Anolis sagrei: one gene and its partners. The protein of the gene in region 4 interacts with the protein of the main gene of each other region in a biochemical or structural test. Links are inferred from orthologs where the notes say so. Each region holds a gene or a part of one and is shown on either strand. Other genes may lie near its edges. The genes, in order: MAPKAPK3, MAPKAPK5, CS and HSPB1.

The links.
Region 1: of the proteins of HSPB1 (region 4) and MAPKAPK3, one has a biochemical effect on the other in vitro, tested with the Homo sapiens proteins (2 studies listed by BioGRID and IntAct). The link is inferred for Anolis sagrei from reciprocal best matches to the Homo sapiens genes HSPB1 and MAPKAPK3.
Region 2: of the proteins of HSPB1 (region 4) and MAPKAPK5, one has a biochemical effect on the other in vitro, tested with the Homo sapiens proteins (4 studies listed by BioGRID and IntAct). The link is inferred for Anolis sagrei from reciprocal best matches to the Homo sapiens genes HSPB1 and MAPKAPK5.
Region 3: the proteins of HSPB1 (region 4) and CS form a complex in vitro, tested with the Homo sapiens proteins (2 studies listed by BioGRID). The link is inferred for Anolis sagrei from reciprocal best matches to the Homo sapiens genes HSPB1 and CS.

What each region holds. Positions count from the first base shown.
Region 1 is NC_090022.1:71,480,676-71,488,372, reverse strand, and holds the start of MAPKAPK3 (MAP kinase-activated protein kinase 3), read left to right. Parts: upstream 1-4,684; 5' UTR 4,685-4,898; exon of another isoform or gene 4,899-4,906; intron 4,907-7,697. UniProt on the Homo sapiens protein: Stress-activated serine/threonine-protein kinase involved in cytokines production, endocytosis, cell migration, chromatin remodeling and transcriptional regulation.
Region 2 is NC_090034.1:30,717,450-30,724,858, forward strand, and holds the start of MAPKAPK5 (MAP kinase-activated protein kinase 5), read right to left. Parts: upstream 3,004-7,409; 5' UTR 2,572-3,003; coding exon 2,536-2,571; intron 1-2,535. UniProt on the Homo sapiens protein: Tumor suppressor serine/threonine-protein kinase involved in mTORC1 signaling and post-transcriptional regulation. Phosphorylates FOXO3, ERK3/MAPK6, ERK4/MAPK4, HSP27/HSPB1, p53/TP53 and RHEB.
Region 3 is NC_090022.1:138,358,021-138,365,975, forward strand, and holds the start of CS (citrate synthase, mitochondrial), read left to right. Parts: upstream 1-4,944; 5' UTR 4,945-5,155; coding exon 5,156-5,209; intron 5,210-7,955. UniProt on the Homo sapiens protein: Key enzyme of the Krebs tricarboxylic acid cycle which catalyzes the synthesis of citrate from acetyl coenzyme A and oxaloacetate.
Region 4 is NC_090031.1:32,940,588-32,947,834, reverse strand, and holds the start of HSPB1 (heat shock protein beta-1), read left to right. Parts: upstream 1-4,229; 5' UTR 4,230-4,254; coding exon 4,255-4,642; intron 4,643-6,637; coding exon 6,638-6,701; intron 6,702-7,247. UniProt on the Homo sapiens protein: Small heat shock protein which functions as a molecular chaperone probably maintaining denatured proteins in a folding-competent state. Plays a role in stress resistance and actin organization.

The DNA of each region.
Region 1 (7,697 bases), on a different chromosome or scaffold from region 4:
CCGAAAGCTTGGTCCCAAAAGCCAAATTTTTACCATCCTTCTAAAGAACAGGAGAGAGGGGGCTGACCTGATCTCACCAAGAAAGGAGTTCCATAGCTGGGGAGCAATCACCAAGAAGACCCTGTCTCTCATCCCCACCAATCATGCCTGTGACAATGGTAGGACAGAACGCAGGGCCTTCCTGGAGGATCTTAATCTCCGCGATGGTTCAAAGGGAGAGATGCGTTCAGACAGGTAATTTGGGCTGGGGCCGTTTAGTAGCAATACATCATAATTTCTCTAAAATTGAATTACACCCACGGGGCTGAAAGTGGTCTCCACCTTTTGAGTTATGCATAAGCAAGGTTTATTGATTAGTCCATTGACCGTATCAACATTAACTTTTGAGTTATGGAAAATCCTCCCTGGATATTTTGTAATAGCAGCTTTTAAGATGAATTACTGGCTGGATCAATTGATTTACACAGTGGAATTAATTACTTCAAACCTGCAAGTTCCTTAGCTATCTAAGTAGCATACGTTCATTTGTCCAGTGGTCAGTTACATGTATGCAGGGTGTGTGTGTGTGTATATATATGTATGTACATATTGCTGACATTTGTTCTTTGTCACTATTTTTAACCCTCATCCTCAGTTTTTCAAGTAATTTCCTAAAAGCTTCAGCTACTGGATTCCAAACTGATCTCTCTGCAATGCCCCAGGTGAAATTCCTTATAACTCCATTCTTCTTCTATAATGCTGGGTGGGAGGTGCAGGGAGAGTTAGCAAAGATTGTTAGATTATATTTCTGGGATAGAGTCTGTATTTCTCAGTAAAAAACCAAACAAACCACAAAGCAAACATAGCCTCCATCAGAAATTCACTCCAGAATCACCCAGGATTGAAACAGCTATCAAGGGATCAATTACCTTTACATTTAATTGATATAAACAATGATTGTAATGCATATCATCAAATCTCTCTGTCTTTTAATATAAGTATTTTAATACCTTGTTTTATCAATGTGTTTTGACTGCAATGCATCCCGCCTCCAGCCATGAAGAGACCTGAGTAACAAATGAAATTGATTGCATAGCCCAACAACAACAAAAGCTTCTTGGTGTCTTGATTTTCACGTCTGATCCTGGGGTTATTTAGGGATGTGATTCAGAAAATTGCATTTAATAAACTGCAACACCACTAGTTTTTTTAAGATATGGTTATCATGATTTTCTATGAGCAGATGAAGACTGGTACATGGCATATGTTCTGTTTCTCAAAAATAGTGCTGATAGGGGGAAACTGGTGCCAGTTTTTAAAAATCCCTGGTGCCATTTTTTAAAAATCAGCAGGTCAAATAGACCCAGAAACAAGGCTGATAGTTGAGGCACCAAAATGTGTTTTTGCCTGTGTTGTATTTCTCGGATAGATTGTCTTTCCTAGCAAAAACAACAAGCACTTCCATCTGATCTTCAGAACTGACCTCTGGAATCACTTGGAATTGAAATGGCTATCAATAGATCGGTTACATTTGCATTTATTGATATACATGATTTTATTGATATATATGATTTGAATGTCTGTCATTAAATCTGTCTCATAATCTAGATATTTCCATGGCCTTATGGTTTAGCTATGTATTTTGATTTTGCTGCACCACACCTCCAGTCTTGAGAGCAAATAGCAAATAAAAGTATTATTATTATTATTATTATTAGATATACAACAAGATTAGTACACAGCAAACAAGATCACTATGCTGGCTTTTGTATTCGACCAAGTGACTAGGACTATGTGATGTTTCGGCGAATAAGTAATTTTGAAATAAGAAGAATGAACATGGAATGGCTAGACTATGCTGCTGGACAATGATTTTAACAGGACAACATTGGTGATCATATGTTTTTAAATGGTTTATATATGCTTTTTATAATGTTGTGTTGTATATTTTTAATGGATTTTTATGAATATATGGCATTAAATGTGCTAATTCTGTGAGCTGCCTTGAGTCGCCGCAAGGCTGAGAAAGGCGGACTACAAATGCTGTAAATAAATATATAAATAAATAAATAATGTGTGCAGATCCAAGTAGGATCTTATTATTTATTATTACACTATGTAACAAAATTTGAAAAAAAGTGTTGTTTTGAAAGCATTATCTCCTGTTCAATTGCGCAGGACTTACTTAGAAAGTAGTTGTTATACTCCAGAAACTTCTGCCAAAAACTATGTTGAGACTCATTGGTTCCCAACCTGTGAGTCGTGAGACCTAAAATAAGGTCCATGGCTCTAGGTTATTAAATATGTTTTTCTGTAAGTGAGCAGATGGTGACTGTTGGCGTATGTTCTGTATCAGAAATTAGAGCTGATGTGGTCTATCCAATGTAGTTTTCTGATTCAGCTCCCCAAATAACCAAACCAAATCTAAAGTTGACCAAAAACAGATTCGTAACCCTTTTGGTACTAATGTTGGAGAGCAGTTCCTGGTCAAGTGGTCCCTGGTCCAAGTGGTCCCTGGTCAAGTGGTCCTTGGTGAAAGTGGTTTCTGGTCAAGTGGTCCCCGGTCAAGTGGTCCTTGGTGAAAGTGGTCCCTGGTCAAGTGGTCCCCGGTCAAAGTGATCCCTGGTCAAGTGGTCCTGGGTGAAAGTGCTCCCTGGTCAAGTGGTCCTTGCTCAAAGTGGTCCCTGGTCAAGTGGCCCCCAGTCAAAGTGGTCCCTGGTCAAAGTGGTCCCTGGTCAAAGTGGCCCCCAGTCAAAGTGGTCCCTGGTCCAAGTGGTCCCTGGTCAAAGTGGTCCCTGGTCAAAGTGGTCCCTGGTCCAAGTGGTCCCTGGCCAAGTAGTCCTTGGTCAAAGTAGTCCCTGGTCAAAGTGGTCCTTGATCAAAGTGGTCCCTGGTCAAAACAAGGCTGGGAACCACTGCTCTATGAGATACTCATTGCAAAACGATAGCAAAAGATTTTTGCAGTTTAATAAACATTCCCCGTGTTTTTATGACAGAACCAATTAGGAAACGACCATTTATAACTCAAGAACAAAAACCGTGTTTCATAGTGTTGTTGTTATGCTTATCAAACACCAACAGGGAGTAAAATACTCTGGGATCGAGCACGGTTTGTTGTCCTGGACGCAGCATCCCAGCATCGTTTGAAGGCTTTCATTTGGGGGGAAACGAAAGGTGCCTCTGGGCGTTGCAAAAGCGCCAGGCTCGTGACGTCAAGCTCTGGAGAAGGGCGGCAACGCGGGCCGTGCTGGACCGACCTTCTCCTCCTCTTGTGGGAAGGAAGAGGAGGGCGCCATGAAGGCGAAGAGGCCGCCCTCGCCCGCAGCCTGGCGACCCGAAAGGCCGGTCCAGCTTGCCCCTTTCGTGCCGCCGCCGCCGCCGCCGCGTCCTCCTTCGGCCCACCAGCAGGGGCTGCCCTGGCACCGTCTCTCTCCCAAGGAGAAAGGCAGACAGAGCGGAGGCGAGTCAGCTTCGCCTCGGAGGAACCAAGCGGCGGGGCCTCCGTTCACCTCCGCGGCCGCGCGCTCGCCCTCCTTTGTCCCCCGAGGGCTCCGGCCCCGCCCTCAGGGAGACAAAGGAGGGCGAGCGCGCAGCCGCGCAGGTGAAGGGAGGCCCCGCCGCTTGGTTCCTCCGAGGAAAGGAAAGGGGGAGGCGGGGACTCAGAGGGGAGCCCCCAAGCAGGTGCTCCTCTGTCGGAACGGTTTAGGGAACTTCCCAGAAAGAGACCCGTGCCCTTCTCTTCAAGGGCTTCTCCCCGCCAGACGGGTTGATGAGCTGGCGCCACATTTTAGTTCTCTGTTATTGTAGGTGAGAATAGGCTCGTGTTGTGGATCCGGTATATTTTTTTCTTTCGACCCCCCTCCAAAACCCTAAAGGGCAGCCACCCTCAAACTGCAGCCCTCCAGCTGTTTGGGCCTTCAACTCCCAGAATTCCTGACGACTGAACAGACTGGCTAGGGCTTCTGGGAGCTGGAGGGCCGCAGTTTGAGGATGTCTGCTCAAGGGGTTGCGAGCCCTGCTCAGGACACAGAATCATAGAGTTGGAAGAGACCTCGTGGGCCGTCCAGTCCAACCCCCTGCCAAGAAGCAGGAAAATCGCGTTCAAAGTACCCCTAACAGATGGCCATCCCGCCCCTGCTTAAAAGCCTCCATAGAAGGAGCCTCCACCACACTTCGGGGCAGAGAGTTCCACTGCTGAACAGCTCTCACAGTTAGGAAGTTCTTCCTAATGTTCAGGTGGAATCTCCTTTCCCGTAGGTGCCTCCTTCCTGCCTTAGGTAAACGAGGCCCATCGATACCTCCATACGGTGCACTGAACGGCATTAGGTAGGTCTGTAGTGCGTTATATGGCAGTGCAGGTGAGGCCAGTGCCCATCTACACTGGCTAGGGAAGTCCGTTTGAAACTGTGGCATGGCAAACAGGGTTTCGCTGTGCGGATGAGGATGAGGATGATCCAGTTTGGGCCCCGAATGGTGATTACTACACAAGCCCCCCGATTAAGGACTGTCTCTTTTCGCGCGCTTTTGGGGAGTTTGCCTCCCGGCGCCGCAGCTTGGAAGCCAGCTTTGGAGTGCAGGCGAGGCTCGGCCTCCTCCGCCTTGGCGGCCAGGTGTCCCTGCGGAGCCCGGGCTCCCTCCCTCCCTCATGCTCTCTCCCTCCCTCCCCCTCATGCCCCTCCCCCTCCCGCCTCTGCCTGGCCCGGGGTTGGGCCGTCCGGGGCGGGGAGTCACATGATGGAGCCTGTCCTCGGCGGTTCGCGAAGAGCCGGCTGCCTGGCGGAGGAGAGAGGCTTCTGATGGCCGCCGCCGCCGCCCCCTCCCTTGCTTGACCCTGGACTGAGGGAGGCCACGGCAACACAGCGACCACCTGTGAGCAGCAGCAGCAGCAGGAGGAGCATGCGCCCCAGGCAGGCAGGCAGGCAGGCAGGTAACCAGCCCTTCCCGAAGCGTCGCCGGCGCAGTGGCTCCCCGCACACACGGCCACCCAGCCACCCGCGCGTTCTCCCTTCAACACACACACACAGGAGCTGTTCCCGAGGGTGCCCTTCCCTGCCCCACATACAAACCCAGTGGCTCCCCGGGCCTCCGGCGTGTGGGAGAGACTGGCTTGCTTTTCCTTCAGACCCTGGTATGGTTCCCTTCCTTGAAGGAGCGCCTATTCCTGCCAATGGAGCTTTCTTTGCCAACCAGAACAAGGGGCCACTCCTCCCTCCACAGAATTCTCCCCAGCCTTTGGGCGTTCAACTCCCAGGCAATGTGGCCCACTGTAGGGAATTCTGGGAGCCCAAGCCCAATACACCTAGAACAGGCATGGGCAAACTTTGGCCCTCCAGGTGTTTTGGACTTCAACTCTCACAATTTCTAACAGCCTACTGGCTGTTAAGAATTTTGGGAGTTGAAGTCCAAAACACCCGGAGGGCCAACGTTTGCCCATGCCTGATCTAGAGGAAGAAAAGGTTGGGAATCACTGGTCCAAGATGGTGATGATGGTGTTGATTATATTTATATTTCAGTTTTCTTCTTCTCAATGAGACTCAAAGTGGCTAAAGCAGGCATGGTCAAACTTTGGCCCTCCGGGTGTTTGGACTTCAACTCCCACAATTCGGGAGTTGAAGTCCAAAACACTCAGAGGGCCGAAGTTTGCCCCTGCCTGGGAAAAAGAGACTCAAAACTCAAAAGAGAGCAAAAGTGCCCCATAATTGTATTTTATTTATTTATCTCACATATTTGTATCCCACCCTTCTCACCCTAGAAGGGGACTCAGGGGAGCCTTACAGCAGGTATTGATGCAATGCCAATACAAATAAATAGAAAAATAAATACAATTAAAACCATACAATTAAACAGTAATTATTAAAGCATCGATTAAAATCACATAATCCAGATCGTAGTTCAAGACCTGACCAACTGTCAGTTTCATTAGTCCGTTATCCTTATTGCACTATTTACTGGTTGAATGCTTGGTCCCATAGCCATGTGAACCTGACAATGGAAGCTTATGAACCTGACAATGGAAGCTAAGCATGGAAGAGGTCTCCTAGGTTTTGTGTTGGCCAAGACAGGCAGGCTGAAGGACAGCTTTAGAAATCTGGTTCAGAGCTTTTTGTCCCCTACACCATCCCCACATCTAAAATTTAAAGAGCTCAATCCTCATTTCTCTCCCCAAACAAAGAAGAGACACAGACGGGGCAGGTGTAATTAAAGACAACACCTCTTGTCAAATTATGTACATTATGGAGGAAGTAAGCAATTTACCAAACATGCCACTTGTTTTGCCTGCCTAGATCATTAACAATGAGTTTTGTCTTTAAAGCATATTTCACTATGTTGGTACTGGTTCATCTCCACCAAGAGAGTCATTATGGCCATAAAAGTCTCATGTCCTCCAACTTCAGGGCCCTGTCACTACCTGGCAGATGTACATGTTGGGGAGAGGGGGATCGCTACGTGCTTGCAAGACCCTTTTGGTGTGTTGTTGTTGTTTATCCATTCAGTTGCTTCTGACTCTTTGTGACCTCATGGGCCAGCCCACACCAGAGATCTTTGTCGGCCATGACCACCCCCAGCTCCTTCAAAGTCAAGCCAGTCACTTCAAGAATAATATCCATCCATCTTGCCCATGGTTGGCCCCTCTTCCCTTTTCCTTCCATTTCCCCCAGCATCATTATCTTTTGGTGTACCTCACAGCAAACTCTGACAATCACAAGCTTTGCCATATCTTTTACAACAAACCACATATAGTCCAATTAAAATGGAAGATAGAGGTCAAACGTCCACTGAGGAATTTTTTTCCTGACATTCATTGTAATTAGATCAGTGGTTTCCAACCTTTTTTTTTTTTTTTTTTTTACTAGGGACCACTTTGAACAGGGATGCTCTCCAGCATTAGTACCAAAAGGTTATGAATCAGTTTTTGGTCAACTTTAGATTTGGTTTGGTTTGATACAGATAATTGCATTGGATAGACCACATCATCTCTAGTTTCTGATACAGAACATATGCCATCCAGTTGTTGCCATCTGCTCGCCCACAAAAAACCATATTTAATAAACCTCGGCACTATAAGAGGGTTTCACGAGACCAGTCACTCTCATTGCAGTGTTGTAGTAACTGTGAGGCTACAGGCCATATTTTAGTTCTTGCAGACCACTGGTGGTCCACAGACCACAGGTTGGGAACCACTGAATTAGATATTCCCTGTCCGCCCTCAACCCATTTTTTCAGTTTGTGTAGTGCTCTGAAGCCACATCTCCACGAACCATGTAGCAATACTGTAAACAGGAAACTTTTCTAAGAAAACATGTTTCTTTGGGATTAAATGCAATTCCTAGGCCCTATTAGTTTGGTCCATGAAGTCACAAAGAGTCGGAAACGACTGAATGAATGAACAATAAACAGGCCCTATTAGAGTAAATTCATCAATGGGATTTTTGCAGAAGTCCAAATTCTCATTGAGATGGCAACTGATTTTAGGCCTGTGATCTTAAATTGATTCTACTGGTATGGAACTGATGCTTCTGTTCAGTTGTCCATCGTGATCACTGCTTATCTGTATTGAATCAAGTATGATCAGTAAAGGTACTGAAGCATTCCCTGTGCAGTTGAATATACAAGTAATGGCAGCAGTACATAGTTGGCACTCAAGATAACTGTCAGCAGTAGCATATCGGAACATGTAACAAGATGCCAGACACAGTTATGGATTCAGCTCACGCAAT
Region 2 (7,409 bases), on a different chromosome or scaffold from region 4:
CTGCTTATTGTCCAAACGACTCAGTTCTGTTTGCATCTTAATACAGGGGCCAGTGGAGTAATCATTTGAGGGCTGGGTCTATACAAGATTGGGGTTCAAAGCCCAGTTGCGGAAACCCTTGGGCCACTCACTCTTTTAGCCACAGAGGATGCCAAGTACAAGCTCCCTTGCCAAGAAAACCTGTTGATGGAGCCGCCATAAATCAAAATGACATAAAGGTGGGGGTATTCCTGCTTTACATTTTGGCTTGGAACTTGAACCCAGGAAGCATCTCCAAGAGGAGACAGTGAGTCTTAAAGTGAGTCTGGAACCCTTTTGTAGAGTTCAGAGGCTTCACCATGATTGGCAGTACTAATATTACAACTTTGGGGTGTTTTGTTGAGCACAAACATTTTGCTCTTTGGCACGGGTTTAAGGAGCTTTGGCCTGCAAATGCCAAGTCAGTTAGAAATCAAGCTGCAACAGGCCCACAGCGAGGCGAGGCTGCTTCAGCTTAGCTGCAGGATGCCTTCCAACAAGGTTGCCTTTGGAGCTACCAAACACGATTTTTAGGACCACAAGCCATCGAGAAAGCTGCTAGTCTTGCCCAAGCTGGCCTCTGTTTTGTATCTAGTTCAAGAGGGGGAAAGTGGCCACCATCCGAATGTGGCTGAAATGAATCTACACTGTGGAATGGATGAGGTCTGACCCCGCTTGAACTGCCAAGGCTCAACGCTATGGAATCATAGGAGGGGCAAGGTCTCTGGCATTCTCTGCCCCACCAAAGGCACCCATAGCCTTGAGCCAGGGCAGTTCATGCGGGGTCAAACAGCACCCATCCCACAGCACAGGCACCTCCTGAGGATTCCGAGGTCCCTTCCCTTTTTTTGCTGCTCTGGAGACCAGGACTCAACAGAGCCATGGGTTCAAATGACAGCAAAGGAGATCCCACCTGAACCTCAGAGCTGTTCAACAGTGGAATGGATTGCCTTGTAGACCCCATTTACACTGCCATATAAAATCCAGATTATCTGATTGAACTGGATTATATGGCAGTGGAGATCCAGCCATAGTCTCTAGAGGCTTTTCAACAGAGGTTGCATGGCCCTCTGTTGGGAGGGTTTTGATTGTGCCCTGTCTGGCAGAAGGGGGCTCGACCAAGTGGCCTTGTGGGAGTCCCTTCCAACTCTAGAATTCTGTTCTCATCATCTTTTTTAGTAATGATGATGAAGGGGTCTGTGATTTTAACCTACGGAGAGTTTGATTTTAGCAAAGGCTGAAGGGTCATATGTTGGGAAGGCTCTGATTGTGTCTTCCTGCCTGGCCGAAGAGGGGTTGCACTGGATGGCCCCTGGAATTCCAACTAGAATTCTATAATAACAATAACAACGTTTGCGGATGATAATGGGGGTCTCTTTCTCTGGGGGGTTTTGAGCAGAGGCTGTATGGCTGTCTGTCAGGAGGGTGTGGATGATGCCCTCCTTTGTGGCAGAAGGGGTTGGGCTGGATGGCCCTTGGGGTCTCCTCCAGATATAGGTTTCTATGCTGCTATGATTATGATTATCATTATTATCCCTGAAACGGTTTATTACTCAGGCCATTGGTTGTTGTTGTTTGTTTTATATTATTTTATGAGGTTGTTTTATGTATTTTAATGTCTTATACTTTAACTATGTTGATTGGGATTGTCTCCATGTAAGCCATCCGAGTCCCTTCTGGGAGATGGAGGGGGGATACAGAAATAAAGTGATTATTATTATCATTATTATGATGAAGCAGAGGCTGTCTGGTTGTCTGCCGGAGGGGGGAGGACTTGGATGGTGCGGTCCTTTGTGGGAGTTCAGCTGGATGGCCTTTGGAGTCTCCCCCAGATATAGGATTTATGTTGGTAGGATTATTATTATTATCATTATTATGGTGAAGCAGAGGCTGTCTGGTTGTCTGCTGGGGGAGCTTGGATGGTGCCCTCCTTTGTGGCAGAAAGGGTTGGGCTGGATGGCTCTAGGGGTCCCACCAGCTATAGGATTCTATGCTGCTAGGATTGTTATCATTATTATGATGAAGCAGAGGCTGCTTGGCTATCTGCCAAGGGGGCTTAGGTGGTGCCCTCCTTTGTGGCAGAAGGGGTTGGGTTGGATGGCCCTTGGGGACTCCGCCAGATATAGGATTCTATGCTGCTAGGATTATTATCATTATTATGATGAAGCAGAGGCTGTCTGGCTATCTGCCAAGGGGGCTTGGATGGTGTCCTCCTTTGTGGCAGAGGGGGTTGGGCTGGATGGCCCTTGGGGTCTCCTCCAGATATAGGATTCTATGCTGCTAGGATTATTATCATTATTATGATGAAGCAGAGGCTGTCTGGCTATCTGCCAAGGGGGCTTGGATGGTGTCCTCCTTTGTGGCAGAAGGGGTTGGGCTGGATGGCCCTTGGGGTCTCCTGGTGATCGAGGACCCCCCAATGGCAGACTTTGCCCAACTCCACACCCGAGGGGAGGGGGCGTGGCGAAGGCTGGCCTTGGTATGCTCAGAGGCGCTCTTGCTAGGGAGCTTGCTCACCTTAATCATCCTCTCCGCCTCGGGCTCCTCCGACATCCTCTTCCTCCTGGGCTGCTTCAGGCCGGGCGAGGCCGGGGCCGCCTTCCGAGGTGGCTGTGGTCCTCGCCGCTGTTCCCTCTCCCTCCTCCTCCTCCTCCTCCTCCGCCTCCTCCTCGGCCCTGGCCCCCGCCTCCTTGGGGCTGCCGAGGCCTCATCCCCGCCGGGCTCCTGCTCCCTCCTCCGCCTCGCCTTTCCCGGCCGAACTCTCCTCCCGCCCGAGGAGCATCACCGGCGCAGCAAAGAAGAATGAAGTCCCCCAAAAGGCAGGCGACTGAAGTAGACGCCCCTTTCGCCGCGCGACGCCCGCAGTGCCAGGCCCCCTCCCTAATCTCCCTCCCCTTTCCTTCGGGTCCTTCCTGTCCGCGCGTCGCTTCCTTGAGGGCGTCACGCGGCGGCCGAGAAGGGTTATCTGAGGGGAGGACGAAAGGGGCGGGGCGGGGCGTGGAGGAAGGGGAGAAGGAGGCGGGGCTTTCCCGACTACGCCCCGCCTCTTTTGCTTGGAGGGAGATTCTTTATTTTATTCTCTCCCCTCCCTTTGGAAATCTCGCGAGATCGGGAGCCCGCCTTCTTTCTGAGGAGAACGCCGTGAAGCGCCTGTCGTGGCAGAAGGGGAGCGGACATTCGACGCCGGGAGACGAGGTGGAGGAGACGTGGCCCGAAAGATAGACAATCTACTAATATATAGACATCATCATCATCATCATATAATTTTATTTGTCTCCCGCTTTTCGCCCAGAGCGGGGCCCAAAGCAGCTCACAATATTTTAAAACCATACGAATCAACAATACATACAACAATAACCTATAAAACCAACTTTAATAACATTGTAATGTAAGAATACTCCTGTATTATATATAATATTAATAATGTTTTAATACATTATATGTATTACAACTTCTGATATAGTACAATATATTGTACTAATAGTATAATAAGAGTGGTAGTGTATTATATATTGTGGTATAATAATATAGTACAATATAATATATAATAATCATATAATATATTACATGTAATATTACTAATTTGGGGAGCAGGGTGAGCTCCCGCTGTCAGCCCCAGCTTCTGCCAACCTAGCAGTTTGAAAACATGCAAATGTGAGTAGATCAATAAGTACTGCTTCTGCGGGAAGATAATGGCACTCCATGCAGTCATGCTGGCCTCATGACATAGGAGGTGTCTATGGGACAATGCTGGCTCTTTGGCCTAGAAAGAGAGATGAGCACCACCCCCTCGAGTCAAACACGACGACTTAATATCAAGGGAAACCTTTATCTTTAATATTACTAATAATGTTGCAATATAGTGGTAGTTAAAGCATAATTAAAGCAATGATATTTCCGATAGTAACCTATGGATGTGAGAGCTGGACCATAAGGAAGTCTAAGCAAAGGAAGATAGATGCTTTTGAACTGAGATGTTGGAGGAAAGTTCTGAGAGTGCCTTGGACCACGAGAAGATCCAACCAGTATGGACTTTATTTCCATACTTCAGGAAATAAAGCCCAACTGCTCATTGGAGGGAAGGATATTAGTGATAAAGATGAAGTACTTTGGCCACACCATGAGAAGACAGGAAAGCTTAGAGAAGACAATGATTCTGTGGAAAATGGAAGGAAAAAGGAAGAGGAGCCACCCAAGGACAAGATGGATGGATGGTATCCTTGAAGTGACTGGCTTGACTCTGAAGGAGCTGGGGGTGGTGATGGCCGACAGGGAGCTCTGGTCCATGAGGTCACAAAGAATCGGAAGCAACTGAACGAATAAACAACAACATAGTGGTATCATACAATATAGCACTATATAATACTAATATTGTAGAAAGCAGAATGGAATCTATTGCCTAGATCGAGGGAAGTCATGGTGTCCTTGTATTCTGCTTTGGTTAGATCTCTTTCCCTGGAATACTGTGTCCAATTGTGGGCACCACGGTTCAAAAGGTATATTGACCCTAAGCTAGAAGGCATCCAGAGGAAGAGGGCAACTAAAAGGATCAAAGGTCTGGAGACCATGAATAATCCCTATGAGGAGTGTCTTGAAGAACCAGGTCTGTTTAGCTTGCAGAAGAGAGGTTTGAGAGAAGACATGAGAGCCAAGTATAAATATGTGAAAGGTCATAAGGAAGAGGTATCAGGCCTGCTTTCTGCTGCTCTTGAAACTAGGACTCTGAGCAATGGCTTCAAACAACAGGAAAGGCGATTCCACCTGACTATTAGAACTATTAGAACTTCCTGACCATACGAGCTTTTCAACAGTGGAACTCTGCCTCGGAGTCCGGTGGAAACTTCTTCCTTGGAAACTTTTAAACAGAGGCTGGATGACCATCTGTCAGGGATGCTTTGAATGTGCTTTTCCTGCATAGAACGGGGTTGGCCCATGTGGTCTCTTCCAACTCTATTATTCTATGATAGACACAGAGTTCCAAATCCCATTTTCTCCCATGCAAGCTAATAGTTCTACTGAAGAGAACTCAGCTATAGCAAAGCAATTGATGAACGAACAGAATATTATTTGCTAACACAGAAATTTGGAACCGCTCAGACAACCATTATGTCAGGCTACACAGAGAAGCCTTTGAAATCCACAAGCATGTGGACAATTTCAACAAAAAGGAGGAGACCATGAAAATGTACAAAATCTGGTTGCCAGTATTTAAAAATACCAGAATTAAGACAGTAAATAAAGAACGCCACTTAGAAAACAGGGGAACTCCAGAAAGCAAACAATCAAGTGCCAGCCAACACTTCCCAAACAAAGGATGCCTCCAGGCAACAACACTGATTGACTTTGCAGCTGTAAGGCTACTCAATGCTAATCAAGCTTGCCAACTGCAGCATTCACACTTGCTTCAAACAGAGAAGGGTTCTTTCCCCGACCCTGGACAGTACACACACATATATACACCCCACTTGCTTCATTCCCACAGACCTTTGAACAAACCTCTGAAGATGCCAGGCACAAATGCAGGCAAAACATCATGAAAGTGCTACTGGAACATGGCCATACAGCCTGAAAAATGCACAGCAACACAGAAAGGGAAAGTGCTTCTGGAGCTCTTTGAGGGACGTCATCTCTTATTTAATGGCCATGGGTGAATGCTGTGGTCAGGCATCAGTGTTCTTTAGCAGAGAAAGCTCAAAGCCTTGTAGATTCCATAGCATTGAAGCAAGGCAATTAAAGTGGATTCATTCTATATCAGGCATCCTCAAACTGTGGCCCTCCGGCTGTTTGGGCCTCCAACTCCCAGAAGTCCTAACGATCTTGTTCAGTTGTCAGGAATTCTGGGAGTTGAAGGCCCAAACAGCTGGAGGGCCACAGTTTGAGGATGCCTGTTCTATAGCATAGGTGCACCCCAAGGTTTTCTTTTCCATCGCTGGAAGCTTTGGTCTTCTAATACATTTCTTTTTAAAGAAGAAATTCTAAGCAGGCATCAACTAATGACATTACATTCACCAGCCAATACTTTTTTTGGTTTCAGGGTTTTGAAAATTGAGCTGTGAGTTAGATTCGATGGCACATCAGACCCAAATATGGTACATCAAATAAGCCTTTTTCTTCAGAAATGGATGTGAGGTGGAAGACAAAATGCAGGCCGCCTGCTTTGCCTCTGTGGATCTGTGTAGAAGTCCCTCTCGGTCTTTCATTGTGATACTTGCTTGAGGGAGAACAATCTCTTTCTTTTTACAACTTGCTCCCAGACTGTGCCAAGCTCTGCCGACTGCAGCAGACTTAGTTGGTATATTTGCCAAAACCTTTCCCTGTGTCCACCAAAGGCAGTCCGTAAAGAGCTGGAAGAGACCACATTATCCATCTAGTCCAACCCTCTGCCATGCAGGACAAGCACAATCAAAGTATCCCTGTCAGATGGCCATCCAGCCTCTGTTTAAAAGTTTCCAAGAAAGGAGCTTCCAGCAGACTCCGAGGCAGAGAGTTCCACTGCTGAATAGCTCTTACAGTTAGGAAGTTCTTCCTAATGTTCAGGTGGAATCTCCTGTAATTTGAATCCTCTGTATGCCAAAAAGACATACTGCTAATACTTATGTCCCTCATTTGAAGACTGGGGGAATATGTTGCAGAAGAAATACAATTACGGTTGAATCAGAGTTACAAATTCCCCCTTAAATGAAAATGTTCTGTCTCGTGTGTGGAAGCACAGAGGGGGAAAACCTGACAGAAATGTTTCTCTTGTCACCCTTCTCTGGAATCTTTAATCCTGCTAAGAATGCATACTTTTTTTGGAAAGAGTTTCCAAAACAAGAAAGATGTTTTGGGTCTATGTGCTTTTGAGGGACATGTTGCATGAAATGAGTGACTGCAAACCGGTATAGAGTGGCAAGCACCTGTTCAAGTATCCCAGGTTAGGTGTTACGCCTGTGGAGTAATGTCATTTTTTGCTCATTACCTATTCCAAACAAACCCTTTTTTTGTTAAAAAGCTCACATTTCTCCAAAAGCAGCGTTGGTTTGTGATGTATAACTTTTTAGCTTTGCCTGACTGGTTACTAAAGCAACCTAAAGCAGACCAAGATACCCCTGTTATACATTAATGATGCTATTTCAACTACATAACAACACAAAATTCTTGGTGTCTTGGTTTTCAGGCCTAGTCCCAGGGTTCTTTGGGGCCCTGATTCAGAAAATGACATCGGCTCTAGTTTCTTAGTTACCATGGTTTTCTAAGGACAAACATGAAGACTGCTAGATGACACATATTCTGTCCCTCAAAAACTAGAACTGATGGGGGGAAACTGGTGCAAGCAATTGTCACAGATAACAGGGCTAACATTGAAGGTACCAAAAGATGTGTTGGCCAGTGTTGTTAACAATAATTTATTG
Region 3 (7,955 bases), on a different chromosome or scaffold from region 4:
AATGGATGGGTTTATTCGTTCTTTGAAGACCACCTCCCCTTTTCCAGCTCCTTTAAGTCTGTTCCAAAAACCTCCTTTCCATTTTGGGATGTGCTCGCTACATTCGGTCTGGAAACCCAACGACTGGACAGGCAAAAGAAAACATGAGCAAAGCTTCTTTGTAGACTTTCTTTAGGAAAACAAAAGATGCTGTGTCCCCACTTGACTTTTTGTAAAAGTCTGCAATTATAAAACCTCTCATTTGGAACAGAAGAAACTTCCATTTCAGGACTGCGGTTCATTTTTTTCTACTGCATTGACAATGATTCTGTGACACGTATGTTTTTTTTAAAAAATGCTATTGTCGTTCTGCAGATGAATTAATCTGTATGTTGAGTCTGGAACTAGCCACACAATACATGGATTCCCTCCAAAGTTCACTAAAACTTGAATTATTGAATATTATTAGTTCTACTATTATTCTGCTACTATTTAATCATGACACTAGGCAGGTGATTTCATTTCTCTATGTAACCTCTTGCATAGGAAGAGTATAATAGAAGAAGGCCCCCACGTATTCATTCCAAACAAGGAGCTGCTGTAAAGAAGATCAATCAATGGCATAAGAGTGAAAAGGTTGACTAGCCATGTGGAGGCCCAAAAAGTTGTTGTCCAGTAACTATTTGACATTGTTGGAGCAATAGATAGATTGCGTTACTTCTTGGATATGTTGTGTGGAAAGTCTTCATACAATATTGCAGTGGCCTTCAGGAATTGTTCACTGTGATATGGGAACCTCATATGAACCAGCTAGGCTAGATTGCAAGCCAGTCTGAAACTGTTTTGTTGGGTTCCTTTTGAATCAATGGGCTGACCTTTGGGGAAGTCCAATGTCCATCTTATAGAATTCAAGAAGGTGCTGGTTTGAAGCATCAAGCATTTGGAAAATTAGGGAAAGGTGGGTCAGATTATATTCTTCAAAGGGCTTTTAAAACATTTGATATCTTTTCCTCTTATTTTCAGAATTTTGGATTAAAAGTCTGTCAGTGATGGCAAGAAAATAAATCATGGTGTGATTCACCTGGAGTTGTAAAAATTATTAAGATAATGGATGGGGTGCATTTTGGATACTCAAAATGCAATACATAAATGCAGCATATTACCATGTAACGAGAGAGGTTTTCAAGTACCTTGCAGAGCTGGATTTTCTTACTGCTTTCTTCCATTATGGGCGTGGTGGTGTTTAGATTCAGAAAACATGTATCTTTGAGTGTAGAAGGGCCTGATTGATCCATAGCTGGGAGCCTTAGGACTTAAAATGTTTGGAGGCAGAAAAACAAATGTGGTTAAATTCCCTTTTCTCACCTATTTATCATTAAGTGCCTGGTACAGCCTGGCACTCTCTGCTTCCTCCACCTTATTTTCCCTTCTCCTAAGCCTTGGATTACAACTCTTGCTACCTAAGCATGTTATGCCTTACTATTTTGCTCATGGAATAGTGTAACATATCTGGTTTCTTTTTAATGTAGGTTGTGAAGGAAGATTAGAACAAATCATGATTGCAAATTACTTATTAATAAGAAACCTAAGCACAACATTTAATACATTTGTATAACTACTGTGTTGCTACAAGCATCCCTCCTCTTCTGAATATGCTCATTTCCTTAACAATAATTGAAACAGTGTTCTTTTAAATGTTAGCTCTCAAAATGCTTCAGGACTGCTGCTTTTGGAGTAAATAAGAAAGCTAATGGAAAAAGCCGATAGTGAATGGATGGTAGGGCAGGTTTGGTAGCAAGAAAAAGTGATTTTTTTTGGGCATATTCCTAAAAGTGACCTATTGAGACACAATTGGAAGACTCATAAAATAAAAATCTGAAGAAAGGTGGAGGAGATCCTATATTGTGGGGATAATTCATTGCTGTAGAAGACTAAATTGCTCTTTAAAAGTTTCCAAAATCTTTGGAAACTTCCATTGGTTCAGAATGCACCAGTCAGGATACTGTTTTGTGTTAAATATTCTACTCATGTGATCTCACTATTGTTTCAGCAGCTTCGGAGTCACATGTCTACTCCTGAGCCCAATTCAAAATGCTGGTCTGGATGTAAGGCTATAAATAGCCAAGGACCAGGATAACCTGAGGGCAGCTTCTTTCCATGTTCAGGAATTTCACCTCTACTCTCAGAATCACACTTGATGTGCATTGAAGCTGTGGATAACATACCTTGGAAGAAAAATAAACTTTCAGGGTAAGATTGATTAACTGCAACCTTCCAGATGTTTGCATTGCAACTTCATAACTTCTTCACTTTCGGATATGCTGACAGGGATGAGAACTGAATTAAATTATAGCTGCCACTTTGTTAGAGAAGTAAAATATTACTTTTGAAGTAGTTATTTGCTTTCTCTTTAAGACTGAAGCTGAAATGGGATGACTACCCCTCCCACCCCACTCCACCAAGTATAGAAAGTGTATAAAAACAAAAACACTTGTCTTCCATACAGAAAAAAAAAACGTGTTTCTATAACTGCCTCAAATGAGACAAAGAGTGAATGAAAATGCCATTTGGACAAGGAATGCTGCTAGAGTGACCTGGTTCTGGTTCAGGTTGAGGACTCTGTACTCTTGTCACACATTCGCGGCATGAGGGCCATCGGGACACAGACTACCAGCAGGATATGTGTTTGAGGATTGGCAGGGAATGCCGCATGGGAAGGCACCGGCCCAAATGGCAGAAGACAGAGTTCAATAGTGTGACACTGCCTGTCCAGCTCATAGAATATTGTTCATTGTTTAGTAAATTTTGTGTTGTCACTCTTATTGACATTTTTATTTCTGCTATGCCGAGCAAGGGGTGGGGGTGGGGAGGATCCAGCATTATGTCAACATTAACATAGTGCCCTCAGTGCTGTTCCAAGCTAGAGCAGTGCTAATAGGTATGTTTTGTATTCCCTTTTATAAAGTAGCCCAGTCTCAAGACTTTTGCTGCCATGAGGAAAGAAAGAATGTAATGTCCACTTGAAGTAGAGCAGAATGGAGGGGCCCATTTTCTTACTTCAGAACTGACAATGGGATTATATTCTTCAGAGAGCTACATACCTACAGGATTCGGGGCAGGTTGCATGCCATACACAGCTCTTGAGTGTTTCGGGTGTTTTGCATGAAATGATTAACCTGCAGGCTAAGCAAGGGGCAGTTCCAGCAGCTTTGTATGAAGTGGAGCTAACTTTCTGTGTACCTTCTGTGCGACATTGCAGATATGCCAGGGCATTATTGTACTCTTCCTTTCCAGTAATACCTCCACAGCCCTTCTCCACTACTAAAACAATTTGCTGAGCTATCACTCCTACTAGAGTAGGCTTCCCTGTAATCACTCATTTCAGTGTGGTAAATGGGTCAAAGGATTGCTAGAACAATTCTGTGGGATGCAGCATATTGATGTGACTAATAGTACAAAACATACCTCTGAGACTGTTCAAGTCTGAGCATTTTAAAGTCTTGTTTCTCCATGCAACATACAAAATCACAGTGAATGTACACTAGTAATACAGAGGAAAGTATTACTAGCGTATATACTGGCATTGATCAGGTGTTGGAGGGGTGGCTGCTATCCTGCTTTCTCCTTTGTCCTTTCTCTCGCCTGATACCTTTTCCCTTTCCTTTCAATTTCTTCCCTTTTTCTTCCCCTTCTTCTTTCCTGTATTTTTCTTTCTTTCCTTCTATTCCTTTTCTCTCTCCTTTCTCCAGCCTGCCTCACAATGTCTCCATTGTAACATGGCTCTTTCTTTCCTTCCTTCATTCCCCTCAAAAACTCCCATCTTTCTATCCCAATGACATCAGAGGGCCACTTCACCTAGCAACCGCTTTTGTGTGACAAACAGACAAGACAAAGTGTTATTCAAGGCTTTAATGGCTGGAATCACTGGGTTGCTGTGAGTTCACCCACATCTATGGCAGGCATTCTCAGAGGTTGTGAGATCTGTTGGAAACTACACAAGTGGGGTGTATATATTTGTGGAATGTCTAGGGTGTGACTCGTGTCTGCTTGAAGTAAGTGTGAATGTTGCAATTGGCCATCTTGATTCGCACTGAATGGCCCTGCAGCTTCAAAGCCAGGCTGCTTCCTGCCTGGGGGAATCCTTTGTTGGAAGGTGTTAGCTGGCCCTGATTCCAGACAAGAAACAATCAACTAACACTTCCCAACAAAGGATTCCCCAGGCAGCAACAGATCAGGCTTTGGAGCTGCAAGGCCATTCAATACTACTCCAGGTAGCCAATTGCAACATTCACACCTGCCTCAAGCAGGCAAGATTTCTTTCTTCCACATATATATAAACCCCATTTGCCTTGTTTCCAACAGACCCCCCCCCCTCAACCTCCATAAATGTGGGCGAAACGTCAGGGCAGAATGCTTCTGGAACATAGCCATACAGCTCGGAAAACTCACAGAAACCCAAATATACGTTGACTTTTCTATATACAAATTCACAGAGATGTTTTTCAGGCACTTAGACCCGAAATCCTATTTCTGAATTCTAAAGAGGTTTCATTCAACTCAGTTATTTACTTGGGAACAGGACTGGACCACAAGGATTCCCCAAGGGCTTTTATTTGGAAGGATAGCGTTTCACTATTAGTCCTGAGCTAACAACTCTACACATTTTAGTCATCATAAGCTTTAACAATACTAGAATTGCTATTAAAAGAGGAGGAAAAAAGCCTTCTCGGAGTGTCACTCCCAGAATCCAGCGATGGCATGTGGGCGACCCTTGGAGTGAAGCGGGGCTTTCAGGCACCTGAATTAGACGCCTAACTCCCCCCCCCCCCGCGCGCCTTTAGGGACCCCGCCCTTCCAGTTCCCGCCTGGCCCCGCCCCTCGCGCCACCGCGCCCAATGGCGTGGCCCCTCTTCCGTCAGGGGAAGGGGCGGGGCTATTCAGATGAACCCGAGCGGCTCTGGGAGTGATTGGGGCCTTGGAGGCGCGCTCCGCCTCGCGCTGCCGACGCTGCGAGGAGTGTATCCGGCGCCGTCTGCTCTGTTCTCCCCCTCCCCCTCCTGCTCTGTTCAACCTTGGTCTTCGCAGCCTGCTTCCTTCCTCCCTCTTTCCTTCCTTCCTTCCCCCTCTCTCTTGAGGCGGCCGCTGGACTCTCCTTCCGCGCCAGTCGCCGCTCGCCATGACCTTGTTGACTGCAAGCAGTAGGGCGGCCGCGCGCCTCTTGGGAGCCAAGGTGAGGGTGCCCCACCTTTCCCCCAATATTGGTCTTTTCCTTGTCCGCCCCCCCTCGATTTCCTTTCTTAGAAGAGAATGGAACAGGCCGCTCTTAAAGGGGCCGCGCCCATTAGAGGGTTTCGGCTCATGTTATCTTAAAGGGGTGGGCGCCTCAAGTGGGTTTTTATGGGAGCCTGATAGTGTGGCGGAGTTTATTATTATGTTCATTTATTTATTATTATTAAGGTTGTGCCTTGCATAGGATTGTGTAGCTTTGGGCGCAGCTTCTCATTTGGCAGGAGGAGCTCTATGCAGTGGTTGGGCCGAGCCAGGCGGGTACATGTGTATTGTACGTGTGAACACGGCCTTGTCCTTGGGCCGGGCCTGTCTTGTGCCTCCTATTTTTCTTCTTCTAGAATCGTTTCAATTGCCTTTTCTAATCCTCCTCTGCCTGTTCTTTCCCAAGTAAAATTCTGCGGAAAGAGGAACAGTTGCAAAGGGTGTATCTATACTGCAGAATTAACGCAGTTTGAGATCACCTTGGGCCCTTTCAAACAGGCCCTATATCCCACGATCTGATCTCAGGTTTTCTGTATAGCCCAGTGGGTATTCATATAATCCAGTTTAATGCAGAAAACCTGGGATCAGATTCTAGGATATATATAGGGCAGTGGTTCTCAACCTGTGGGTCCCCAGATGTTTTGGCCTTCAACTCCCAGAAATCCTAACAGCTGGTCAACTGGCTGGGACTTCTGGGAGTTGTAGGCCGAAACATCTGGGGGCACACAGATTGAGAACCACTGATGTAGGGCCTGTTTGTCAGGGCCCAAGTAAATCTCAAACTGCATTAATTCCCTTAGGAACTTAATAAAATCCCACATTGTCTGTTTTGAACTGGAATATATGGCAGTGTGGATTCAGATAACCCAGTTCAAAGCAGATATTGTGGGGTTTTCTGCCTTCATATTTAGGGTTATATGGCTGTGTTATAGGGCCCCTTGACTGTCATGGCTCAAGAATGTAGAATCCTGGGAATTATAGTTTGTTAAGGCCCCACCACTCTTTGACAAGGAAGGCTAAAAACTTTGTAAACCGTGGCAGTTAAAGTAGTGCCAATCTGCATTAATTTTACAATGTAGATGCAGCCTAAGTTTTTTTTAATGCTGAAAGGAGGGGTTGGGAGCTGGGGCAATAGTCAAACTTCAGAAGCGAGGGTGTGTGCTGCTCTGCCACCCAGTGCAACCAGGACCCTGTTTTGTGGTGTTTTAGGAAGTTTGGGGTTCCTGTGGTAGCTAGGCCTTAGCAGGGCCACACTGACCTTTTTTCCTTTTGACCTCTAAATGGGAAGGCCCTGTCTTTCTCTGGGAGGGTCAGTTTACATATAATATAGAGACAAGTTTGGTATTTAGGGAAAGGTGCATCCTGGGTATCTGGTTCCTTTTTTTAGCCTCTGATTGAATCAGCTAAACTCTTGCCTTAGTGGAAACAGTCGGTGGGACATTGTATGCCCCTTTGCTTCCCTTTTGTTTTCCTTTCCAGTCCCTTCTCTTACTACCCAGCCTGGTGTCTTGAGGAAGCGGTATGGTGCCTTCGTAGTAGGGTGCTATAGTAGGATGACCTGTCTTTCCTTGCTACAGAGCTGGGAAGAGGCTTTGGCTGCATCTACATTGTAGAAATAATGCAGATTGACACTATGTTCACTACCATGACTGAGTTCTGTGGAATCATAGGAGTTGTAGTTTCGCGAGAGACCACAACTCTTTGGAGGAGAAGATAAAGGACTTAGTAAAACTACAACTCCAGTGGTTCTATAACATTGAACAGTGGAAGTAAAAGTGCTGTCAAACTGCATTGATTTGACAGTGTAATAATAATAATAATTTATTTTTAACCCACCCTCTCTCTCCAAAGGGACTCAGGACAGCTTCCAAACATAAAACTGGCAAATATTCAATGCCATCAAATCAACATTAATACGTTTATACCTACAGTTAAAACAAAATAAAATACGTTGTCTGATAATATGAATCGATGAGTCAAACATCGTGAACAAACAATCAGGCAGTTAAAACTGTATACGATATGAATATATAGCTCTACAATAAAATACACCCATTGTTCAGCCTGTGCTGCTTGCTCCATAGTTTGGAGTGGGAATGGAGTATTCCATCACATTAGGCTTGTTACTATGTGTGTCAGGAGGAACTTGAAAAACGGCAAGTTGCTTCTGCTGGAAGTGGTCATAAAAATATCTCGAGACACAAAATCTGTGCAAATCAATTGCTCTTGACTGGCCTGTATCCCAGGGCGATGACACACTGTGGGGTAAAGTGGGCCTCCAAGGATGTTGCCGTGTTGTCTGACTTGCTTGTAAAATAGCTTCTGCTTCCTTATTGTTCTTGTTCTCGTAACTGCAGACTGGCAGTATCGAAATTGGGGAATGTGTCAGAGACATTTAACTCCACCCACCCCATACCCTGCAGCAAGTAGCAGCAGTAGTGGGAAGCATGTTCACTAAAATGGAGATTCTCCTGTTTCCGTTTAGGCCCTTGTGCTTTGTGAATGGCTCTCTGTCTGCCTCCTGCTGATTATTCAGCAGCCACTTTGCTGCTATCTTGCTGGGAAATCTGCCCATGACCTCTCCATAGGGCAAAGGGCCTCATGACAATTTTATTTGGACTCCAGACCCATGAAAGTTCCTTAACATATCGATTGCAAATGCCGGGTACCAAAAGCGTTTATTTCTAGCTTATTTGCTTTTCCCC
Region 4 (7,247 bases):
TCTCAAGTGACTTTGGAGAACTTTGTGGGATTCGGGGAAAGCTTTCACCAGTCGGGTGAGAAGATCCGAAGCAACGTTGGATGCCCAAAAGCGTCCTGTTCCTGCAAGGCTTCAAAACGAGCCACGAGTGGGATGTAGCAGCTTGAAAGGCTGCATCTGTCGGGGTCTAGTGTCCAAATGGAGGAAAGTAATATAGCCATGGCTTGAGATATATGACTGAAGACGAGCCAAGATTGGGATGCAGCAGCTCAGAAGGTCCATGCAATTCCAGGCTGCATCCATCGGAGTCTAAATGGAGGAAAGTAATATTGTCAAAGGCTTTCATGGCCAGAATCACTGGTTTGTTGTGTGTTTTCAGGGCTGTATGGCCTAGTTCCAGAAGAATTCTCTCCTGATGTTTCACCTGCATCTGTGACAGGCATCCTCAGAGGTTGTGAGGTCCTCACAACCTCTGAGGATGCCTGCCATAGATGAGCCATAGACCTCACAAGATGCAGGAGAAACATCAGGAGAGAATGCTTCTGGAACATGGCCATGCAGCCCAGAAAACACACAACAAACCAATATAGCTATAGCTTGACGATAATAATATACCTAGCGAAAAGGGCCAATGCAATTCTAGGCTGCATCAGTAAGGATTGAGTGTCCAGATACTCTGTAGACGAGGATACAGTGGAGCCATTGATTCGAATGGCACCGGAATATGAGGACAAATGGAGCCATGGATTTGAATGGCACCGGAATATGAGGACAGTCTCAATTCTTGGAGGTTTTTAAGCAGAGGCTGGATGGCCATCTGTCCGGAGGGATCAAACGGTGTCGTTTGTGGTAGAAGGGGGTTGGACTGGATGGCCTTTGGGGGCCTCTCCCATCAGGGACATTTCTTTCAGTCTTCCGAGCATTTGTTTATTCGTCGCCGTCTCTGCAAATGATAGCCAGTCGGAACAACAACAACGTTCTCTCTCTCTCTATCTATCTATCTCTCCTTCTTTTATTTCTCTCTCCTTTCTTCCGGCCGCGACTTCAGTTGTAGATTCCCATGAGCTGATTCAATTATAATAAAATATACAAGATCGATCGATTGTAATGGGATCTTTGTCGGGGCCGTGTCCTCTGTTTTTGGTGAGACACTCTGTCACTACGTTTGAAAACAGGGCGGTTGGATCGAATGTCCCATGACTGACAGGTCGGAAAGTACACATAGCTACAAAGGATAGACTGGATGGCCTTTGGGGTCCCTTCTAATCCATCTCAGTCTTGCTTTTTTGAAGGAAAATTAGAGTCCCGGCCAAGAATGTTCCCGCAGAGCCTGGACCTTCAGAAGGATGATGACCTCAGAGAAGAGGCAGCCGGTCCCTTTGGCGGACAGTGACTCACGGCCGGAGCAAGAGAGATCCCGCTCTCCGCTTCCCAAAAACACCAAGGATAGTCCCTCTGGTGCCCCGCTCTCTCCTCCTCTTTCCCCTCGCTCGGTCTGTGCCACGTTCTGCTTGGCACCTCCCAAAAGGTCTTTCAATCCTTGGAGGTGAACTGGTCTGCTCTGGACTGACATTTGGGCGAGCTCATGGGAGTCTCTTAGGCTGTCCTTCAACAGAGGTTGGGGGGGCATCTTTCGGGAGTGCTTTAAGTATAGGGCAGAATGGGGCTGGACTGGATGATCCTCAGGGAACCCTTCCAGCTCCATAATTCTATGCAATGGTCCCAACAATGGGTGGGATTTGGTGGTCTCTTCCTGCCTGGCGGAATGGGGCTGGACTAGATAACCCTCGGGGGTCCCTTCCATTTCTGTAATTCTCTGCAATGGTCCCAACAATGGGAGAGATTTGGTGGTCTCTTCTCATTTGTATACAATAGTCCCACGATGGCCATCTTTCAGGAATGATTTAGGTGTAGAGCATAATGAGACTGGACTAGATGACTCCCGGGGGTCCCTTCCAGCTCTGTAATTCTCTGCAATAGTTCCAACAATGGGAGGGATTTGGTGGTCTCTTCTTGCCCGGCAGAATAGGGGTGGACTGGATGACCCTCAGGGAACCCTTCCAGCTTTGTAATTCTATGCAATGGTCCCAGCAATGGGAGAGATTTGGTGGTCTCATTTGTATACAATGGTCCCACGATGGCCATCTTTCAGGGGTGCTTTAGGTGTAGAGTATAATGAGACTGGACTAGATGACTCCCGGGGGTCCCTTCCAGCTCTGGAATTCTCTGCAATAGTTCCAACAATGGGAGGGATTTGGTGGTCTCTTCCTGCCTGGCGGAATGGGGCTGGACTGGATGACCCTCGAGGGTCCCTTCCAGCTCTGGAATTCTATGCAATGGTTCCAACAGTGGGAGGGATCTGGTGGTCTCTTCTTCTTCGGCAGAATGAGGCTGGATTGGATGACCCTCAGGGGTCCCCTCCAGGTCTGTAATCCTATGCAGTGGTCCCACAGTGGCCATCTTTTGGGAGGGCTTTAGTGGTCTCTTCACATTGTATGCAATGGTCCCATAATGACCATATTTCAAGAGTACTTAGAGCATAATGGGGCTGGACTGGATGACCCTTGGGGTCCCTTCCAGATCTGTAATTCTATGCAATTGTCCCCACAATGGCCATCTTTGGGAATGAGGTGGGACTAGATGACCCTTGGGGATCCCTTCCAGATATGTAATTCTATGCAATGGTTCCAACAATGGGAGGGATTTGGTGGTCTCTTCCTGCCTGGCTGAATGGGGCTGGACTACATGCCCCTCGAGGGTCCCTTCCAGCTTTGGAATCCTATGCAATAGTCCAACAGTGGCCATCTTTTGGTCTCTTCTCATTGTATGCAATGGTCCCAACGCCAAGAGTGCTTTAGGTGTAGAGCATAATGGGGCTGGACTGGATGACCCTTGGGGGTCCCTTCCAAATATGTAATTCTATGCAATGGTCTCCACAATGGCCATCTTTGGGAGTGCTTTAGGTGTAGGCATTTTGAGGCTGGACTAGATGACCCTCAGGGGTTCCCTCCAGCTCTATAATTCTATGCAACGGTCCCAACAATTGGTGGGATTTGGTGGTCTCTTCCTGCCTAGCGGAATGGGGCTGGACTACATGACCCTCAAGGGTCCCTTCCAGCTCTGGAATCCCATGCAATGGTCCAATGGTGGTCATCTTTTGGAAGGCTTTAGTGGTCTCTTCTCATTGTATGCAATGATCCCACAATGACCATCCTTCGGGAGTACTTTAGGTGTAGAGCTGAATGGGGCTGGACTGGATGACCCTTGGGGGCCCCTTCCAGAGATGTAATTCTATGCAATGGTCCCACAATGGACATCTTTCGGGAGTGCTTTAGTTGTAGGGCTGAAACAGGCTGGGCTAGATGACCCTCAGGGTCCCTTCAGCTCTGTAATGCTATGCACAGTGGCCATCGTTTGGGAGTGCTTTCGTGGTCTCTTCTCATTGTATGCAATGGTCCCACAATGGCCATCTTTTGAGAGTGCTTTAGGTGTAGAGCTGAATCGGGCTGGACTGGATGACCCTTGGGAGTCCCTTCCAGCTCTGGAATTCTATGCAATGGTCCCAACAATGGCCATCTTTTGGGAAGGATTTGGTGGTCTCCTCTCATTGTATGCAGTGGCTGCACAATGGCCATCTTTTGGGAAGGATTTGGTGGTCTCCTCTCATTGTATGCAGTGGCTGCACATTGGCCATCTTTTGGGAAGGATTTGGTGGTCTCTTCTCATTGTATGCAGTGGCTGCACAATGGCCATCTTTTGGGAAGGATTTGGTGGTCTCTTCCCATTGTATGCAGTGGTTGCACATTGGCCATCTTTTGGGAAGGCTTTAGTGGTCTCTTCTCATTGTATGCAATGGTCGTCTTTTAGGGGAGCATAATGGGGGTGGACTGGATGACCCTTGGGGGACCCTTCCAGCTCTGTAATTCTAAGCAATGGTCCCAACAATGGCCATCTTTTGGGAAGGATTTGGTGGTCTCTTCCCATTGTATGCAATGATCCCACAACGTCCATCTTTTCAGAGCGCTTTGTTGTATGCAATGGTCCTGCAATGTCCATCTTTTCAGGATGGGGCTGGACTAGATGGCCCTCGGGGTCCCCGTTCCCGCTCCGTATGCCAGGGCCCGTCCCGCAGTCCAAAAAAGGCCTTTCCCTCCCGCTCCATTCCTGGGAGCGCCATTTCCATTAATAGACAAGGAGACATTCTTCTCCCAAAATAGCCCTTTGCCTCTGGATGAGAAGGGCCAGCTGGCCCGGCCGGACAAAGGAGCGTTGGCCATGTCGGAGCGCCAGGTGCCCTTCACCTTCCTCCGCAGCCCCAGCTGGGAGCCCTTCCGGGACTGGTACCGAGGCGGCCGCCTCTTCGACCAGGCCTTCGGGATGCCCATGGTCCCCGATGACTGGTATAGGTGGCCCGCCGGCAGCAGCAGCGGATGGCCGGGCTACGTCCGCCCCATGATCCAGAGCCCCGAGCCGGCCACTCCGGCCAGCGCTGGCCCTCCGGGGGCCCATCCGGCCTACAGCCGGGCCCTCAGCCGGCAGCTCAGCAGCGGCGTCTCCGAGATCCGGCAGACCCCCGAAGGGTGGAAGGTGGCCCTCGACGTCAACCACTTCGCCCCTGAGGAGCTCCTGGTCAAGACCAAGGACGGCGTGGTGGAGATCACCGGTAAGGATGGAAGGAAAGGGGCCCAGGAGGGCATCCAGCCCCACCCTCGGCCAAGGCAGTGATTGAATAGGGGGCTGGTGGGTCAGGGAGTCCTAGAGTTAGAAGGGGAGCCAAGGGCCCCCCAGTCCAACCTTCTGTATGTATGTATATGTGCCGATCTTCCCATCCATCCATCTTAGAATCCTGAAGTTGGAAGGGACTTCAAGGGTCATCCAGTCCAACTACCTGTATGTGTATATCTTCCCATCTATCTATCTTCCCATGTATCTATCACCCTATCTACCTACCCACCCATCCCTCTATCCCTCTATCCCTCTATCCCTCTATCCCTCTATCTATCTATCTATCTATCTATCTATCTATCTCTATCTATCCATCCATCCATTCATCCATCCATCCATCCATCCATCCATCCATCCATCCATCCATCCATCGCTCTATCTATCTATTGGTCTATCTATTGATCCATTGATCCATTGATCCATCAATACATCAATCCATCCACCATCTATCTATCTATCTATCTATCTATCTCTATCTATCCATCCATCCATTCATCCATCCATCCATCCATCCATCCATCCATCGCTCTATCTATCTATTGGTCTATCTATTGATCCATTGATCCATTGATCCATCAATACATCAATCCATCCACCATCTATCTATCTATCTATCTATCTATCTATCTATCTATCTATCTATCAATCAATCAAAGAATCCTAGTTGGAAGGAACCCCAAGGGCCATCCAGTCCAACTTTGTATGTGTATGTTTGTATCTTCGCATGTATCTATCATCCTATCTATCTACTTATCTATCTACCTACCCACTGACCCACCCAACCACTTTATCTATCCCTCTGTCTATCCCTCTATCCATCCATCCATTCATCCATCTATCTAGCCATCCATCCATCCATCCATCCATCCACCTACCTACGTACCCACTGACCCACCTGCCACTTATCTATTTATCTGTCTATCCATCCACCCATCCATCATAAAATCGTGACGTTGGAAGAGACTCCAAGGGCCATCCAGTCCAACCTTCTGCATCTAGATATCTTTCTATCCATCCACCTAGCTACTAACCTATCTATCCAACCCTCTGTATGTACGTATACATCTATCTATCTATCTATCTATCTAGCCATCCATCTATCATAGAATCCAACTAGAGTCCAACTACTTGTATGTGTATATCTTCCCATCTATCTTCTTATGTATCTATCATCCTATCTACCTACTCACCCATCCCTCTATCTATCTGTCTGTCTATCCCTCCATCCATCCATCTATCTATCTATCTGTCTGTCTGTCTGTCTGTCCGTCTATCCATCTATCCATCCATCCATTCATCTATCTGTTTATCCCTCTATCTGTCTATCTGTCCGTCCATCCGTCCATCCATCCATCCATCCCTCTGTCTATCTATCTATCTATCTATCTATCTATCTATCTATGTCTATTTATCTATCTATGAGAGAGGCAAACTGACACATACATACATACAGGGAATTGGATGGGATGGCCCTTAGGGTCTCTTCCAATGCTGGGATGGATGGATGGATGGATGGATGGATAGATAGATAGATAGATAGATAGATAGATAGATAGATAGGGTAGTCTTTGGGGTCTTTTCAAACATTAGGTTTTGATTGATTGATTGATAAATTATGTTTAATAGTAATACTAGTATAGATTTATTTGCATCCTGTTTTTACTATGTTTTATATTATTTTATTTTGTAGTATTATAAATTATTGTTACTTTACATTATAATTGCTTTATACGATTGCGATTGCATTAATACAGTCACAATATAACAACAATAAACTAAAGCAACAATAATATAAAAATATATAATAATATAATGTTATATTATAAAATAATATATATTAAAATAATATGTAATAAGCCAATAATAAAATGTAAGAATAGGTCTGTGTCCAAATGTGGGGTTTGTTTACGTTCTCTCCTTCCGTCTCTTTCAGGAAAACACGAAGAACGACAAGATGAGCATGGATTTATTTCCAGGTGTTTCACCAGGAAATACACGTAAGTTGCTGGGCGGGTTTCTGGTCAGTTCCTTCCCAATGGAGGGACCCGTTTCCTTTGATCCTTTTACCTGGGGAGTTGAAACAACAACAGGTCCCATCATCCCCAGACAGTGCAGAAGGAGGCCCATCCTGAGCCCTGCAATGCCTTAATGGCATGTCTCTTTGCTGCCATCCAGTGGCCAACTCGGGAATTGCACCCTTTTAGTGCAGCCTAGCAGTAGAGGGCTCCTGCTGAGTCCACTTTGTCGCCATCCTGTGGCCAGATGGAAAATGGCACCTTTTGTTATATTTTCTCCAAATAGGGAAATAGGGAGGAAACTCAGTTCTTGTGGGTTTTTTCGGGCTATATGGCCATGTTCTAGAGGCATTTCTCCTGACGTTTCGCCTGCATCTATGGCAAGCATCCTCAACTGCTGTGCTCTCCCTCCCTCTTGGTCTTTCCTTCCTTCTTCTGTCCCTCCCCTCTCCTTCTTCCATCCCTTCCTTCCTTCTTTTCCTCTGTCCATCGTTCCTTCCTCTCTTACTTCCCTTCCTTCTTCTATCC